Arabidopsis thaliana: one gene and its partner. The protein of the gene in region 2 interacts with the protein of the main gene of each other region in a pairwise test. Each region holds a gene or a part of one and is shown on either strand. Other genes may lie near its edges.

What was found. Proteins that work in one complex are often made in the same cells at the same time.
Region 1: the proteins of FAH1 (region 2) and CB5-B interact in a protein complementation assay, tested with the Arabidopsis thaliana proteins (one study listed by BioGRID).

Annotation. Positions count from the first base shown.
Region 1 is NC_003071.7:13,873,103-13,881,679, forward strand, and holds CB5-B (cytochrome B5), read right to left. Parts: upstream 5,609-8,577; 5' UTR 5,346-5,608; coding exon 5,259-5,345; intron 5,257-5,258; exon of another isoform or gene 4,655-5,256; coding exon of another isoform or gene 4,568-4,654; intron 4,311-4,567; coding exon 4,244-4,310; intron 4,162-4,243; coding exon 3,911-4,161; 3' UTR 2,710-3,910; downstream 1-2,709. Other genes in the region: AT2G32710 (Cyclin-dependent kinase inhibitor family protein), read left to right, coding at 394-971, 1,843-2,064, 2,179-2,248; AT2G32730 (26S proteasome regulatory complex, non-ATPase subcomplex, Rpn2/Psmd1 subunit), read left to right, coding at 7,087-7,232, 7,741-7,810, 8,039-8,144, 8,453-8,561. UniProt on the Arabidopsis thaliana protein: Membrane bound hemoprotein which function as an electron carrier for several membrane bound oxygenases, including fatty acid desaturases.
Region 2 is NC_003071.7:14,662,018-14,670,269, reverse strand, and holds FAH1 (fatty acid hydroxylase 1), read right to left. Parts: upstream 4,604-8,252; 5' UTR 4,380-4,603; exon of another isoform or gene 4,194-4,379; intron 3,510-4,193; 5' UTR 3,495-3,509; coding exon 3,444-3,494; intron 3,292-3,443; coding exon 3,199-3,291; intron 3,091-3,198; coding exon 2,894-3,090; exon of another isoform or gene 2,761-2,893; coding exon 2,655-2,760; intron 2,578-2,654; coding exon 2,431-2,577; intron 2,329-2,430; coding exon 2,209-2,328; 3' UTR 2,020-2,208; downstream 1-2,019. Other genes in the region: MEE22 (maternal effect embryo arrest 22), read right to left, coding at 1-1,080, 1,359-1,473, 1,561-1,617; AT2G34750 (RNA polymerase I specific transcription initiation factor RRN3 protein), read left to right, coding at 6,478-6,606, 6,728-6,817, 6,910-6,981, 7,086-7,157, 7,244-7,480, 7,572-7,682, 7,770-7,874, 7,992-8,117 and 1 more. UniProt on the Arabidopsis thaliana protein: Fatty acid 2-hydroxylase involved in the alpha-hydroxylation of sphingolipid-associated very long-chain fatty acids (VLCFA). Probably involved in the resistance response to oxidative stress.

The DNA of each region.
Region 1 (8,577 bases), 790 kb from region 2:
CTAACGCTGTGACACATATTTGAACCCAACTAACTCAAATTTTTTTATTTTAAATATAATTTATAAATGTGGAAAAAAATAATAAATTTATAAATAAAAATATATGTCATCATTTCTATTTATAAATATCGAAATTATTACACTCAAGTTCTAAAATATTTTTTTTTTTTAAAAACTAAAGTGAAAAAATAGCAAAGTACATTACTCACAGTAGTGAAGAAGCAGCCACCTGAAAAAAAAAATAACACACACAAAAAAAGAGAGAGAGAGAGAGAGAGAGAGAGAGAGAGAGAGAGACCCCACAAAGAGCACTAATCTTCACAACCCTAACTCCGATTTTTCTCACACCTCCCAATCTCTCTTTCTTTCTCTCTGATGAAAAGCTAACGGAAAATGGGGAAATACATAAGAAAGAGCAAAATCGACGGAGCTGGAGCTGGAGCTGGTGGTGGAGGTGGAGGCGGAGGTGGAGGTGAATCCTCTATTGCTTTAATGGATGTTGTTTCACCTTCTTCCTCTTCTTCACTTGGTGTTTTAACTCGAGCTAAATCTCTAGCTCTTCAACAACAACAACAACGCTGTCTTCTTCAAAAACCCTCTTCTCCTTCTTCGTTACCACCGACTTCTGCTTCTCCTAATCCACCGTCAAAGCAGAAGATGAAGAAGAAGCAGCAGCAGATGAACGATTGTGGTTCGTATCTTCAGCTACGGAGTCGTCGGCTTCAGAAGAAACCACCAATTGTTGTGATTCGTTCTACTAAACGGAGGAAACAGCAACGGAGGAATGAGACATGCGGAAGAAACCCTAACCCTAGGAGTAATTTGGATTCGATTCGTGGTGATGGGTCTAGGTCTGATTCTGTTTCTGAAAGTGTTGTCTTTGGTAAAGACAAGGATTTGATTTCTGAAATCAATAAAGATCCAACCTTTGGCCAAAATTTCTTCGACCTTGAAGAAGAACACACTCAAAGGTATCATCTTTCTTCATCAATTTCAACCTAATTTTTTGGGGGATTTCTTATTTTTATGAATCTGTGTGAATTTGTTCTGTTTCTTGAGAAAACTTTGGTATTGGATTTGAAAATTTCCGTTGTTAATTTGAAAAAAGGATCAATTTTTTGTCTTGTATTTGGTTAAAATTGAAACTGGCGTTTTCGATTTTGAAATTTAATGATATTTTTACCATGTGTATGATATGATGCCATCTTTTCTTTATCTGACAACACCAGACTCTTCTCTCTGTTTCCGGGAAAGAAAATATATATAATTAATCAAAAATGTGTTTCTTTTTTCTTGAGAAAGTTTTTATTTTTTCTTCAATTACTTTGAAGAAGGTGATAGTGACTATTGTTTTTTCTTCAGACTTTTTATCTGCTTTCATGTAAAGAATGTTGGATTTGTGTTTGAAATGTCTCTGTAAGTAACTCTTTAAAGTTTGGTTCGTTTTTGGGATTCTGCAAAGTATATGATGTGTCTCTGTAACATCTTAAGTTCTAGTTTCTCTGTCTTTTAATTTTTCTTGCTGTTTGGTTGTTTTTTGATGTTATGATTTCAGTCTAAAGTCGTGATCTTGTTGAACATTGTATGAGTCATTAACTTTTCAAGCATTGCTGAAGTAATCTTCATTGGAAGTTTCTTCTTTGGTTTTATGCTTTGTGAACTTTGAACCACAAATCAACAAGGAGTTTCTCCTTGTCCTTTTTTCAGTTAAACATGACTTGCTTAGTTTTAGTTATCTATATGCAATAAAGTTTGCTTGCTTTTGCTGCTAATTAAGGAAACACGGTTATGTGCTTTTTCCTTGAGAGCATTGTATGAAAGTAACATATTACTTACTCTCAGCTTCAACAGGACCACAAGGGAATCCACACCATGCAGTTTGATAAGAAGGCCTGAAATCATGACAACCCCGGGATCGTCTACAAAGCTTAACATTTGTGTAAGTGAAAGCAACCAGAGAGAAGACAGTTTGTCACGCAGCCATCGTCGCCGACCAACTACACCTGAAATGGACGAGTTTTTCTCGGGTGCTGAAGAAGAACAACAGAAGCAATTCATTGAGAAGTATGTGTTTCCTCGTTTCATCTGTTCTGTTCTTTTGGTTATGAGTTTCCAGTTTGTTCTGTTCTTCTCTTTTGGTCTTGTGTCTCTAATGGTTTCTGTCAACTCTTTCTTCAGGTACAACTTTGATCCTGTGAACGAACAACCACTACCAGGACGGTTTGAATGGACGAAGGTAGATGATTAGAAACAACAAAAAAATGGGGGGTTAATAGTTAATACAGAATATATTAACATTTTCCTGCTAATTATCGGTTTGATCTTATTACCATCATCCGTTTTCTTAACTTTTTCAACATGTAAAGAGCTTAGGAGAAAAAACCCATGTAGTGTTTTTAAATTGGTGTCTGTAACATAAGTGGCTGAAAAGGGTTTGTGTAACAGAACTTGATACCAATCCTTTTTAAGCCTATACAGATCACCTTAGTAGTAGTACTAAAGCCATAAGAGAAGGTTTTTAGAAGTAACCCAAAGTCTGTTTAGGGTTTAGCGTTTAGGGTTTAGAGTTCTTTCGGTTTAAGGGTCAGTGTTTTCTTTTATGAATTCCGGTACAGGGGGACTCTGCATTCTCTTAAAACTCTTTGTCCTGTAACCATTTTAAAAAATCTATCCTTTTATGTGTATACATGTACTGATCTCAAACTCTTTTCAATAAAGACTTATCCTTCTCTTTTTTGTTCTCTTCATCTTAAGTTCTTGTTCTTATCATCATCATCATTATGGTCCATGTGTTGTGTTCTTCAGACATATAACATCACAATGACAGGTAGGTAATACATGTCTATATATACACAATTGTATACTGATAATAGAGAGACAGAGAAGCTGTTCGTTATGGATATGGATAGTGTCTCATAGTGGTCTTTGTTTTGTCTCTGTCTTCTCACTAAAATCAAAAGTGTTAGAAAAAGATTCTCTTTCTCTTTCTCTTGCTCTTGTGTGAGTCCATTGTACTTTCCACTCTGTGAGATTTGTGCCCACTATATTATCTTAAATATGTAATTCGTACCCACTCACTACATATCATCATCATCATCATCATTATGGTGATCGTCTTTTGATCAATCATCGAAACTTCGTCGCGTCTTTGCTTGTCATAAGATTCGTTTTCTGATTGTATTGATTTGAGTCTACACACGACAACGTTTTGAATGAAACAGTCCATAGTTGTCAACTTGCCACAGAATCCATTCCAATCTTTACTTAAATGAAATTTATTGCTCTCGAAGTTACAAGTATCGAACTTTGTGTCTGCGGTTGCGACTTCTTGCGGCCAAAGCGGTAAAGAGGTACAAAAAGAGGGTCCTACAGTTGCAGAAGAGTTTTTGGATTCTTCGTGTGGATATGTTTTTGTGAGCTCAAGTCACTAACTGCCACACACTCTATCAAGTAACTGCCAAAACAAACGTCTCTTTCTCTTTGGAATTCGTAATCTGTTGTTTTTGTTTCTCCTTTTCTCAAAGTTAATTAAGTGTTCTCTTAAGCATTCAATTAGTAAGATCATGGCCTTGTTTTGATAGTTCCTTGGTTACTTTTCTTCTACAGATCTCAAACAATACTAAACCAGACTTTCAAAACAGATCACTTATTAGTCATAACTTCGGTTTCAGAATCTGAAATATAGATGAGATGTTCATTAGTTGCATAAGGCAAAAACACCAACAAGACTGTTGTTTATATGCAGTTACACCACAATAGATAAGAAATTATCCAAAATACATTCAAACAGCAAAATATGGGAAGAGACAATAACAAAGGGAGAGACTTTCAGATTTGTCTTTTCAAAAGACTTGAATCTTTCTCTCTATATATAAGATATAAGGAAGTAATGCTCAGAAAAAAAAGAAGCCTACCCTGATTTGGTGTAGATACGGATTCCGACTGCTAAACCAAGAATGGCAAGGGGTACGAGGAACTGGAGGAGCTTGATTATGAATTCAGAGGTCTTGTCTTGATTGTAGTGAGGCTGTTTAGGAGGTGTGTATTTGACTTTCTTTGGTATTGTTGTTGGATCAATCTCTCCTACGTAGTACTGCTCCATCATTTCTCTTGCACTCTCGCTGTGACCCACGTCCTCAAAATCATCCGTTGCATCCTTACCTGAAAAGAGAATAAGAATCAAAAACCGATGGATTGATCTCCACTAAGCCGGGAGCATGGTGATAGTTGTGTTTATACAGACCTGTTGAAGACAAGAGAACATCGTCCCCACCTGGATGGTCTTCAAGAAACTTGGTCACATTGTACACCTGCATTTTTTTGCAAATGTGTGAAGTTAGGAGAGGCAAATGAAACCCAATTACAGAACTTCTGAACTTTGAAGATTTCTTGTCAAATCAAGAAGTTTAAAACATGGGAAGATCCACTTCTGAGGCTTATGATTAAAATGTAAGAAACAATGGAGCAACAAAAAGAAAAGTTCTTAGGTTATCGCTTTCTTTGGACTAAACAAGATATGGTGCATATAACTCTAAAAATCAAACAATAGGAATAGAAAGATGAATACTTGAAACAAATTACTGTACCAACAACCAAGTCCAGAGATACATTTGGGATCTTCTGAACTTGATAAAAAGGATTGTTCTGTGTACATAGCAAACTTGTTGCACAGAGGTAAACTCCCAAAAAAAATGAACTTAAGTGACAATATTAATAAGAAACATAAACTACTGATGGAACAACAGACCAAAACATTTAATGTTTCCTACTTTCTTGTGATAATCTACTGATTTCACAAACCAATCAATGAAGAAAACAAAAATCAAGTTCACTATGAAGGGAGGCTCAAGGATGTATCTACAGATTCCTTCACAAGTTAATAATCACAATACAAAAACGATCGATCTTCAGGGCAAACAACTAATCGACAAGTGTCAGTAGTCCATCCCAAGAAAGGTTGATGTCGATCAAACAAACTCTAAAGACAATAAGAACTATTTCTACATTTCTCCATCTTCAATCAAAATTAGAAAATTTTCAGCTGATAAATAGATCAAAAGAGCTAAATCTTCAGCATAAGCTTAATAACTACACCATTTTCTACTCTCTCTACCCATCTAAAGATTTGATCTGATAATTTTAGACTTAGAAATCTGAGACTTCAAAAGCTTAATCTCATGCAAACACCAAAAGGGGAAACTTTGAAGCACGAGATCTCTAATTTCAGAGGTGAGAATAAGGAGAAAGAAGAATGAAACCTTTCCATTGATGACAATCCAACAGTCATGAGCTTGATTATGCTCTGAAACTTCTGAAAGAGTGAAGATCTTTGCTTCGTCTCCCATTGTTTGTTTGATTCTTGTCTACCAGAATTAACCCACCAAAACCTGACTCTGAGACTTAAAGCTCAAAACTTTATACAAGAGTGTGAGAGAGAGTTGTTGAGTTAAAGACCATTTGACGAATCAGTTAAATTCCGGTTTAATTTGGTTCGTTCTCAAAGTAATCGGTTGGTGAGTTTTGGAAGCTTTGAAAACCGGTTTAATGAAAATTGATTTTGAGTTTGTTCTCACATAGTCTGTACCTAATTGCTGCTCTACTGTTTTGGCCTTATGGTATTCATCTGTACGATTTTGAAAACATATGTGCCAATGTTGAACCGATGGGTTAAGTGGTTTGGTAGTAGTTGTTATTTCCGGTTGAGTGGATGGGGTAGGTAGGTAGGCAGTGCAAATGTTGCGGTTGTGCGCTCTAATTCTGCCTTTTTCATTCAAGATCGGTAGGTGAATGATGTGCAATAAATTTTATTATGGTACATATGAATTCTTTTCTCATAAGTAATATTTATGTAGTTTTATATTAGTAGATACAACTACATAAGAAAAATAAATTGCCGCTGCTTCATACCAACTGACCTTATTTATTAGGGACACAAATCTTTTTCTTTCTAAAGCTTATATAAAATGTACATATTATTCAAAATCAATAGATTGACCGGTGAATTTCTGACCTTGTAAACGAAAAGAGGTCTGAGAAGTTTCAAATTTGAACCATCGACAATGAAAAAAATACATTAGCCATGTTCTCTAGAGAAAAACAAGCAGGTTAACCAAAAGATTAGAACCATCATTTTCTTTATGTTTTTTAGTACCAAATAATGTTATTAAAAGAAAAAGTTATACTTTTAGGACCACCAAATCTTTTTCAATACTAAAAATTGTTGCTTTGAAAATATTAAATACAATTTACACATTAAAAAAAACTAATATATATATAATTTTAAAATGAACAATAAATATAAATAACTAAAATCGTGTTTGTTTGTTCATACACTATTTTCATTGAACTTCTGATACGATAAACAGATAACTAAAAAAAAAATTGAATGCATATGTTTTTGAATTACATCTTGAAATGATTTATAAGCTAAATAACTAGATGACTTTGTTACATAATCGAGCTAATGGTCGACCACACCATCATCATAGTTTACGCTTACCATTTCGTGTAATGAGCTGAATCGATTTATGATAATTTTGTTTATAAAATTTGATTAACCGACTGTAAGTTTATTAATTTCTCTATGATGCCTTGCATATCTCTATAAAGCTTTGTATTATGTTCTGAATTGCAACACATTTTATTGATATGATATGATGATAATTTAGCAATTAGGGTATCCTAAAAGCTCCTAAAACTTAAAATTGTATGACCAACCAATTTTGTAAAAGCAATAAGGAGTTTTTGTAAATCTTCAAAATATATTGGATCCATAACTCAATAACACAAAACTTGAGACTAAAATCATAATAAAGCTATACATTCGGGGCAGTTTTTAATATCCTGACTTGTTGGGTAAGTCTCTAAATATTCGTAGTTTGCATCCAAGTCCCTGACTTACTATCTTCTCCCAAATCTCCTTTTATTTTTACTTTCGTCCTATAAACTAAAATAAATAAGGAAAACACTCTTCTTCAAATCCAGTAGAGAGATTCAAGACGAGTCTCATCGAAAGTTCGAATCTTTCGTCATCTGATTAGCTTTCTCTTAGGGTTTATTTCGATTTCGATTTAGTGTTCTCCATCAATGGCGACACCCATGGTTAGTTCCGCTGGAGGATTACTAGCAATGCTCAACGAGCCTCATCCTGTTTTGAAGCTTCATGCGCTCTCTAACCTCAACAATTTGGTTGACCAATTCTGGCCTGAGATCTCCACTAGTGTCCCCATCATGTAATTCTCTTTTAAACCCTTTTTTTCCGGTTTGAGATTTAGGGTTTTGTTCTCTCACTTGATCTGTTTTTTTATTCGGGATATTCTAGAGAAGATTGTGGGATTTGGATTGTTTGAGCTGTGGTTGTGTGTAGGTCTTCTCGATTTGGGTATTAAAGTTCAAAATTTTGAGTGAGGGATTGATAGTTTGTGGCGATGCAGATTCAATGGGTAGGATAAGAAAAGTAAAGTTTTTTATTTTACATGACTAGCTTTAGCAAGTTCTGTAGTGATCTTTATAGATTATGAATGAGTAATTGTATCTAACTTCTTCCTGGACATGATTATGTTCTTTTACTCATGTAATGTAAAGGCTTGGATTCGTTTTGGTTTATCATCGTACATTCTAGTGGTATAGATTCCAGTTGTAGAGGCTGTGCTGGCGCAATGCTTAGGGTTTTATGATAATCTCTCTTTAATGATTTGCACTACTTGACAGCTTGACTCGAGAGAATTTTTTTTTTTACAGTGAGAGTTTATATGAAGATGAAGAATTCGATCTGCATCAAAGACAGCTTGCTGCTTTGCTGGTCTCTAAGGTGCGATTTCACGATTGTTAAACTTAAGTTTTGTCTAGTTGCGGATAATATTTGCTATATGTTAGTGGAGGAATGTTTAATTGTTGCTCTGAATACATTATGGTTATTTTTCTCCTTAAGAGCTGGTGGATAGTGGTAGAATTTTGGGACGTAGCCTTTTTCTAATCACGTTATATGTTTGTTTTACAAGATATGGGTTTCTTGATGATCGTGGTTGTTTTATCGCAGGTTTTCTATTACTTGGGCGAGCTTAATGATTCGCTGTCTTATGCCCTAGGAGCCGGTCCCTTATTTGATGTTTCAGAGGATTCTGATTATGTTCATACGCTTCTGGGTGAGGATTGAGAAGTTTGTTGATGTTTTTACTCTCTTCATGCTGTTCTCTGTCTGTAGACTCTAGCTAGGGTAACTGTTTAATGCAAATTGCTTACCAAATCAACTTGTCTCAACTCTCAAGGCAAGAAAAGCCTATATAGCCTGCACGACTTATTATCTTAAAAGTAGACTTGAAGCTTGTACATCCAGATATTGTTCTGCCTTTAAGTAGTATAATACTAGAAAAAGACAGATAAGTTGACTATTTGAGTTTTAATAAATGCTGGATGAATGTATACTCATCAGATGCTTCTTTTAAAATTTCAGCCAAAGCAATAGACGAATATGCCAGTCTCAGATCAAAGGCAGTTGAGTCAAATGAGATGGTGGACATTGATCCCAGGCTAGAGGCGATTGTTGAAAGAATGCTTGGAAAGTATGCAATGCTTATA
Region 2 (8,252 bases):
TACCGAACTCCAGTTTCAACCGACCTAGCTCTTCGCACTGAAATTCCCTTCGAAACTTTTCAAATTTAGCCACTGTTTGGGAGTGTTTTGCACAATTTCTCTCAAACTTCATCTTTTTTTTCAAAAGCCTCATTTCAGCCTTTTCCAGGTCTCTGACTTTCTGAGGAGAAATAGAGTGAGTCTTGATGGATTTCTGGGAAAGTGAAAGCTCATGCACTTGTTTCTTCAAACCTTCAGCGACTAATTGCGCTTCTTGTAACTGTTGAGTCAGATCATCAGTACGAGATTTCCAGTCCATGGCTGTTTTTTTATTCATCTCAAGGAGCCTTATCTTCTCTTCCAGCTTTTCCGAGTTTTCAGCAAACTTCACTTGGCTACTAGCGGTCTGCGATTCCATTTCTTTCTTGAGCTCTTCATTTCTTGCTCTAACGATTTCAAACTTCTTAGACACATCTTCTGCCAGCTTCATCTGGTCCCTAGCTTTTGCACTCTCCATATCTGCACGTTTTTTCTCTTTCAGTGTCTTCTGTTTTTCAAGCTCAAGCTGCTTTTTTACAGTCTCAAGATTGGAGGTCAAAGTAAGTAAATCAGAACTAGTCTTATGAGCTGAATTTCTTAACACCTCCAACTCCGAAAGATACTTATCAGCTTTCTTTTTCTCTGATTCTGCTTTCTTCCTCTCTGACTCTGTCTTCTGTCTCTCACTAGCAAGAAGATTTTTAACCAGACTTATTTCCCTTTTTACTTCAGGAATATCTTGCTCGATTTCCTCATCTTTTACTATCAGAGCCTTTGCCTTGTTCAGTTCCTTAAAAGCATGTTCCCTCTCTTCTTCAGAACTATCTGCCCTTAATGTTTCTTTCTTAAGGAGATCCCTCAGTTCATTGATCTCCTTTTCTCGACCAGAAGCTTGATCCTGAAGAAGCTTTGTTTCTTCACTTTTTTCTTTAAGGTTCCGCTCCAGTTTTTGTTGCAAAGACACTATCTCAAACTTCAAACGAGATATTTCTTTCTCCAAAGATGCTTTCACAGTTGAACCATTTTCCTTAGTATCTCCGTCAGTCGCCATCTCCCCAAATTCTGTAGGATTCAGCAGATAGACCAGTAAAAAAATCAAAATTAAGATTTGGAACTGTAGTAACAACAACATCTTTCCAACCAAGCCACAAAGCCCAGTTTTAAAGCATACCATAATTCAATCATAATCGCCAAAGAATCATCAATTGGAGAATTAGCTACATCAAATCAAAGGCATAACAATGGATCATGTACCATAAACAAAATTAATCAGTAACAGAAACACAACACATCAAAAGGGAGCGAGCTAATCTCTGCCACAAGGAGTAAAAGGAACTTACTTCTCTCGAGATTGGATTTTTCAGCATTAACATTTTCTATAGCCTTCTGGAGAAGAGTTACTCCTTCTTTAAAAGCATCTCGCCTCTTCTTCATTCCTATGTACTTCCCTTGCCACTGAAATACAATCAAAGGAAGACGAGAATAAGATTTCTTTGAAGAAAAGCACTAAACAACATAAATGGACAAAAATCGAATACATACAGCGAGGCAGCAAGGGTTTCCTGAAGCTAGCTCAGGTGGAGCATTGGTCGTCGCCATTGCCAGGAAAATTATTCCGATTGTGGAATAAAATCTCACATAAATTGAAAATTCATCGCCATGAGAGTGAGGGGGAGAAACTAATAGAGAACGAAAATCAAAAACCCTAAACCCTAATTTTCAGTGAGCAGAAGAAAGAAGGAAGAGTGCAGTCAGTTTGAGAAGAAGGAATCGAGGAGGAGTCAGATTAGACCTCGAGCGATTTGGATTTCCGGGCGGGTCGGTGAGTGAGTGTTGATTTTATTTCTTTACCCAGGCCCAGCCCAATAACGATTTTTTTTAATTTTTAGTTTCTCTTCCCATATTTGGTTGTCTTTTTTAAACTTCGGATATTTATTGCAAAATGTCTGTCAATTCAAGAAATATATATATGGCCAAAGTCAAGACACAGATGTTCATGTTAGTAGATTTTTTATTGCTTTCGCAGAAAAATATTATATTAGGATTGTGAAGTATTGATTTACAAACTACAAAAGACAGTGATCCAAATGAAACCTCAGATTAAACATCTCAAAATTCAGAAGGATGATTAATAACTTAAGATTAAATTAAATGTATTACAAACATCTTTTTAGTTTTTGCCTTTTACTACTATTGCTCTTTTCTGGGGGCTTTTGTGGTGGGAAGTGTCCCAAAGACTATGTCCCATAACGACGAAGTTATACCAAATCCTTTGTCCTGAATCCTGAAGTGATGATTCAAATGGTACTTCTGCAGAATCATAAGAAAAAACATAACAAATAAGCTCTCTTTATGCAATCCGGATACAAAAGAAAAGAAAGTCCCAGGTTTTGAGACTTGACATTGTTTTACCTTGAGATTTTTGGTCACTGGTCTAGTAGGTTGGGCATGGTGAAGGTAATAATGAGTGACATCGTACATCACATATCCGAGCATGCCTCCACCAAACAATGCAGGTGCGGTTGAAGGAGTTGAGATAGCCTTCGCAATGTTCCAGAACTAGGACACAAGAAAAGAAAACGGTTTAGGGTTGGCGCTGAAAACATGTAGAATGGTGGGTTAATGTAGATAAATACCGGAAAGCATAAAATCGCTGTTGCAGTAGGAGGAAAGACGAGCCGAAGGTGGTCCATCGGGTGCTTATGATGGCATCCGTGAATAAGATAGTGTGCAGTGTTTCCCCTGGAGTGGTTTCACAAAATCATTAGCATCTGACCGAAGTCATGTTTCCAGGAATTTGTCTGTTTGAGGAGGATTCATAGGAGAGTACTGTCTCTATGAAATGTAACACAGAGAGAGGGAGAAAGTGACTAACCAGTAACTCTTCGTTTTTATGTGGAAAACGAACCGGTGAAGAACGTATTCAAAAAATGTCCAGATGAATATTCCCATGACAACAATTGGGACGATTTCTGGAAGTGAACATCCCATACTTACTGACCTTGATATGCACCAGACTACAACTGGCAACCAAATGACAGGAACTGCCCACCAAACTGTAAGTGTCAAGAACTGTTTCATTGCAAATACGTCAGAGAATGGAGATCAGAGTCTCATTGACATTGCTTATTATTGATATTGGAAATTGAGAATGAGAAAAGATGAAAATAAAATATATACCTCCCAAAAGTCACTCTGAAAAAACCGAGGGCCTTCCTTGGTCGCGATAGGTTGGTGAACCCATTCCTCATAATCTTCTCCAAGATGACCAACCTGTAAAACATCCAAAGCAATGGCAGGAGGGGTTAAAGAGAGAGCGTTACTTTGATTAGCTCTAAGAAAGAAACGAAGACAATCTTGGGTGACTATGGTCTCAAGGAAAATGTTGACATAAACTATTTAAAACCCTGGGAAACAGTAATTACCTGAAATACAAGGGGCTTTTTAAGATCCACAGTGAATCCCTGAGCAACCATTTTGCAGACCTTTTACTGATTTTGAAAAAAAATGAAACAGACGATCAAGAGAAGAATATGATCCAACTATGTCTATATTGATCAGAAACGCATAGTAACAAACACCAGAGGTCCTTTTCAACAGGTCGTATAGGTAAATTTACAGATCCTCTTCACTATCATAACCAGATTAGAGGCCTGAATCTTAAGCATTACTTCTTAAATGACTAAGAAAACGACAGGGGTCTACTGTTTGGCAAGATAACCAACCTAATTGCTCTTAATATTAATACCAAACTCACTTATCCAATTATATATACTCGATAAATTAGTCCCAAAAATCGAAATTCCTAGCACAAAAAGCAAGTATTAGATGAAAGAAAAATACTAATCATTTAAAAACATAGAATGTATGAACAGAGCTCCCTCTCACTCATTTCCCTCCAGGACCCACCACCAAATATATATACAAGTAAACTACCCAAATAAATCAACTCACAAGTTAACATCAAGGAAACAAAAAAACACACAGTTCCTAATTGAGTTGAGACACATAATCTATTAAAGAGAAAAATGGCTTAACCAAAAGTTCTTTTCAATTGAATCATTCACTATTGTTGCAGTGAGAAACAATGAGGCTCAAAAAATAAATTCACATGTTTTCGAGACACCTTCCTTTCTAGCAACAATTGAGCATTTTTTATTTAGCCTTCAATAACAATGCGTAAACAAAGTTTTAAGATAGTTATGATTCGTTTTTTGAGAGTCAATAACAAAAATTATCCGATCTAAACCACTAAACATCAAATCAATGGAAATCTCAATGTTTCCAGAAAAATGAAATCTATCTAGAGAGGAAAGGAAACAAATACGGATTCAAGAGAATAGATTCGAATAGAAACGAACCTGATGGATCTCAGCGACTCGAGACGGAAGAGAGAATCGCCGAGATTGTGAATGAATCGCCCCGGCCCTGTTTTGGAGGTTTGCGTTGGTGTGTGTGTGAGAATTAGATAGAGAAAACAAGGTCGGTGTAATATATCTTCTAGATGGAATCTGGACCGTTGATTGTGAGAGATGCCTTAGATCTCGGAGGCCAACGAATCGTCAATATATTCAAAAAAAACAACGGCTGTGCCAGGTTGTTGCTCTTTTGGCTCTCTTCATACATTAGCTGTTCATAGCCTCGTCTTGTCACTTGTCGTCGCACTTATAGGATTCCCAATTTTGTACGTTGCCACAAATAAACAACATTACACTATATATATTACAAATTCAACTTATATGGAAAAGAAAAAAAATACTAGGATACTCATACACTGTGTGGACGATTACATTTTAGACTTCGAATTATTGGTCTTCTGCCAACAATGTCAAAAGATTTTATTGACTGCTTTAATCATTTTCCATAGAGCAATGAGAAAGTCAAGGATTAAAGTCGGTCTCTTCTTGAGTAAATATTAAATTCGAAGATTGTGGCAGCTAGATAATAATCATACTTTCGATTTTCTTATTGAGTAAAATAAAATTTGTAAATGATTAATTCATTATGCTTATTTTTAGGATTTTGATGCGGCCTCTTATGATGTAGAATCATTCACTACCAGTACACGTGACCAGTGTCAAGCATAGTGTTTGATTATAATTATTTTATTTGCTTTAGTACTATAGAATGTTTCTTTAATGCTTAAAATCCACGATTAATATAGCTCACTCGACGACGCTGGTGTGATGACAATTGATTAGTCTTTGTCTTTTATGTCTAACTTAGAGATTTGACAACGGAGCTTAAATAGTCAGCATAATGAAACAGAAGATAGAAATGAAAGTAGTAGTGATACGGTTAATCAAATGTTTGGTTAGCACTTTTTCCAGAAAAATGGGTTGGTTCCATTTCACAAATGTAAAAGAAGTAAGATATTGGTTATATCAGCCTGATGTTGAGATAAGCTTTCTTGCATTGGTACACAGAAGAAGGAATGGACGAGATGGAGTTTAATGAAGCAGAGAGTAACATGAACGATCTTGTGGCTGAGTATCAGCAATATCAAGATGCTACAGCTGATGAAGAGGAGTATAAAGAGGAGATGGATGAAGATGCTGACCTCGATGCTTGAGATTTTTAGATCTTTAAATGGAGTTGTTTTCTTTTCGTATCCGCTGGCTTTGATTGCTCTTTTGTCTGTTGTTTTGGGTGTAAAAATTGTAATGAGAAACTAATTTGTATGTGTGTTGGCCCTAATCTTTTCTCGTTTTGGTTTATATATATCTGGTTTGGTCTTATTTAGTTATGGTTATGTGAGCAATCAAAGTAGACCAATTAACCAAAAATAATGTCTATAGTTCACTTACTTAAATTAAGTAAAAATTTGTGTTTGTCACACGACAGAAACATAGAAAACAAAATTTGATGTAATGACGACAATAGTGAAGAAAAAAAAAGATGGAATTAAAGAAATAGGAAAAAGTAAGTGTGAACCCTAAACGTCTCCTATTATTTATCGATTATCGCCGTCTTTCATCAGAATCTGCTCCTTCTCTATTTTTCTTCTCCAAGAAAAAACCATAGCGAAGGAGTAAAAAACGAAGGCCGGAATTATCAGAACGGGACAGTGACAAGGGTTTCCCTGAGCTGACGGACCCTTTCAATTATTCATCCTCGTGAGTTCTCTCACCGTCGTATTTTGTGTCTTTATACTAGTTTTCTCTTGTAAAATCTGTAATCAATGGAGATTTTACTTGGTTACATCGATTCTTATAGCTCTCCTTTCCCTATTTTCGCAGCTGATAGTCTATATAGCTTCAATACTTAACATTTAGTCTAAATTCAGAGACTTTTCCAGATATTGTTTCTAGTGAGTTTAAATTGAGTGTTTATGGTGTCTTGAGTATAAGTTAATGTTGAAAGTTTTGAGATTTCTTAATACTTCTCTTGTCCATCAGGAAAGTTCCACACTTTCGGCAACTTGAAGTAGCAGCACGATTTACATTAAGTCCAGAGAGGATGGGAGCAGTAGAGCTTATGAGTGATCCATCGAGCTTATGCACAGTCGAGAACTATGTGGACAACGTTGATTTATCTGATACGCAATTGGTGCAGACCGTGAGAAAGGCTCTTACATCTGTCAAAACTGTGAGTGTTGTGCAAGTTTTGCTTCTTCCTCTGCTTATGTGTTTACAGTTATATATATTTGATGCTATATTATCTGTTATGCTTCTTGATACTAGTTTTATTAATTCTTTGCTAATGACAGGGGGACTCAGACCTTTATAGTGAGATGGTTGGAGTTATGGCACGGGACATCAAAGAATTTAAGGATCCTGATGTAGTGGCGCAGCTTGAGGTGTGATCTATTCTTTGTATGGCAATCAATTCTTTCTTATTTGTTCTTTTTCTGTTTGCTAAAGTGTTTTCATTTTTCAATTGAACTGGCAGACAGTCTTGAAAGCTCTATCAGGCGCTGTGGCTTGCATAGATGTCCTTCACCATCAAAAGCTTCTTTCTGCGGTAAGTTTCTATTGCACGAGCTTACAATTGCTTCCAATTTAAATAGTTTTAAGATGGATCCTCCCAAATCTTACCCTGGATTTCATCCCAATTGTTATGTCTAGCTTTTTCGAATGAAATTGTGGGACCACAGACCTGATGTCATGGATGCATTGGTGAACCTTGTCATATCACTGGTACACAACTCAACATTTACCCGCCTATTGTTATTAGTCTAGATGAAGAGCTAGACCATTTAACTTTTGCCTTTTTTCCATCGCAGGCTGTCACTAGTGGAAAGTATTTAGACTCTTGTCTGAATATGCTCGTAAGCAACTTCGTTCCACCTCCTTGGGTAGTGAATAACCTTTCGCACTCCCGTATACTAAACAAGAAGATAGACGTTCTTTCTCGGGTGCATGCAGCGCTTCTGAAAATCTCTATTTTGGTTCCTCTTACTCCCTCAAGATTAGTGCCAATGCTCTTCCAGCAAATGCCCAAGATGCACAAAAAGGACCATGTGAGTCTTTCTTTTTGGTAAATTTTGGACAATTTAGTTGTAAGCTCATACTGGCGATAAACTCATACGAAACTATCTTACCGCCTTGCAGTCGATAGTGATATATGTGGAGAGCTTATTAAAATTGGAGAATAGCTCAATAGGGCAAGTTGGTGGCAGCATGATTCTTGGTATGGTGATGGAGAGGCTGCGAGATTTGGATGTAAGTAGACAGAATATGCTTATACAATTGAGGTCAGTAAGTAATGTGGTATTGGTGAGTGAATGATATGCTGGTGTATCCTTGTAGTTAGAGATTGAATGGGATGATATTCCACAAGATGACTCTAGTAGAGGAATGTTTGATATGGAACTTGAAGATGCAGCTGAAGGCACTATGAATGATGGAGACGAGGTAGACTTTATGTTTATGTTTCCTTTTGGTATCAGTTAAAAGTTGCTAGATAACAAGTTAGTTGGAACATTCTTTTTGCTGAACTACGAAAGTTTGGACTTGATTTATCTATTGCAGCTTCCAGTGGGACCTCTAAAGCAGGATACATCAGATGGAAGTATAGTCTCTAAGTTGTTGGACAAATTGATGGTCGTAGCTTTTGAGCATCTTGAATCCTGTCAAAATGATGGTCGTTTGGATCAGGTATGGCACCAAATGGGACCTCATTGACATATGCATCTATACTTTCCTTAATGATGGACTCGAGAATCTTCTTAGCACTTCTGATTTTTTTTAATTATTTTGGCGTAGGTGTTTGAAAGCCTCTTCAAGTCATTT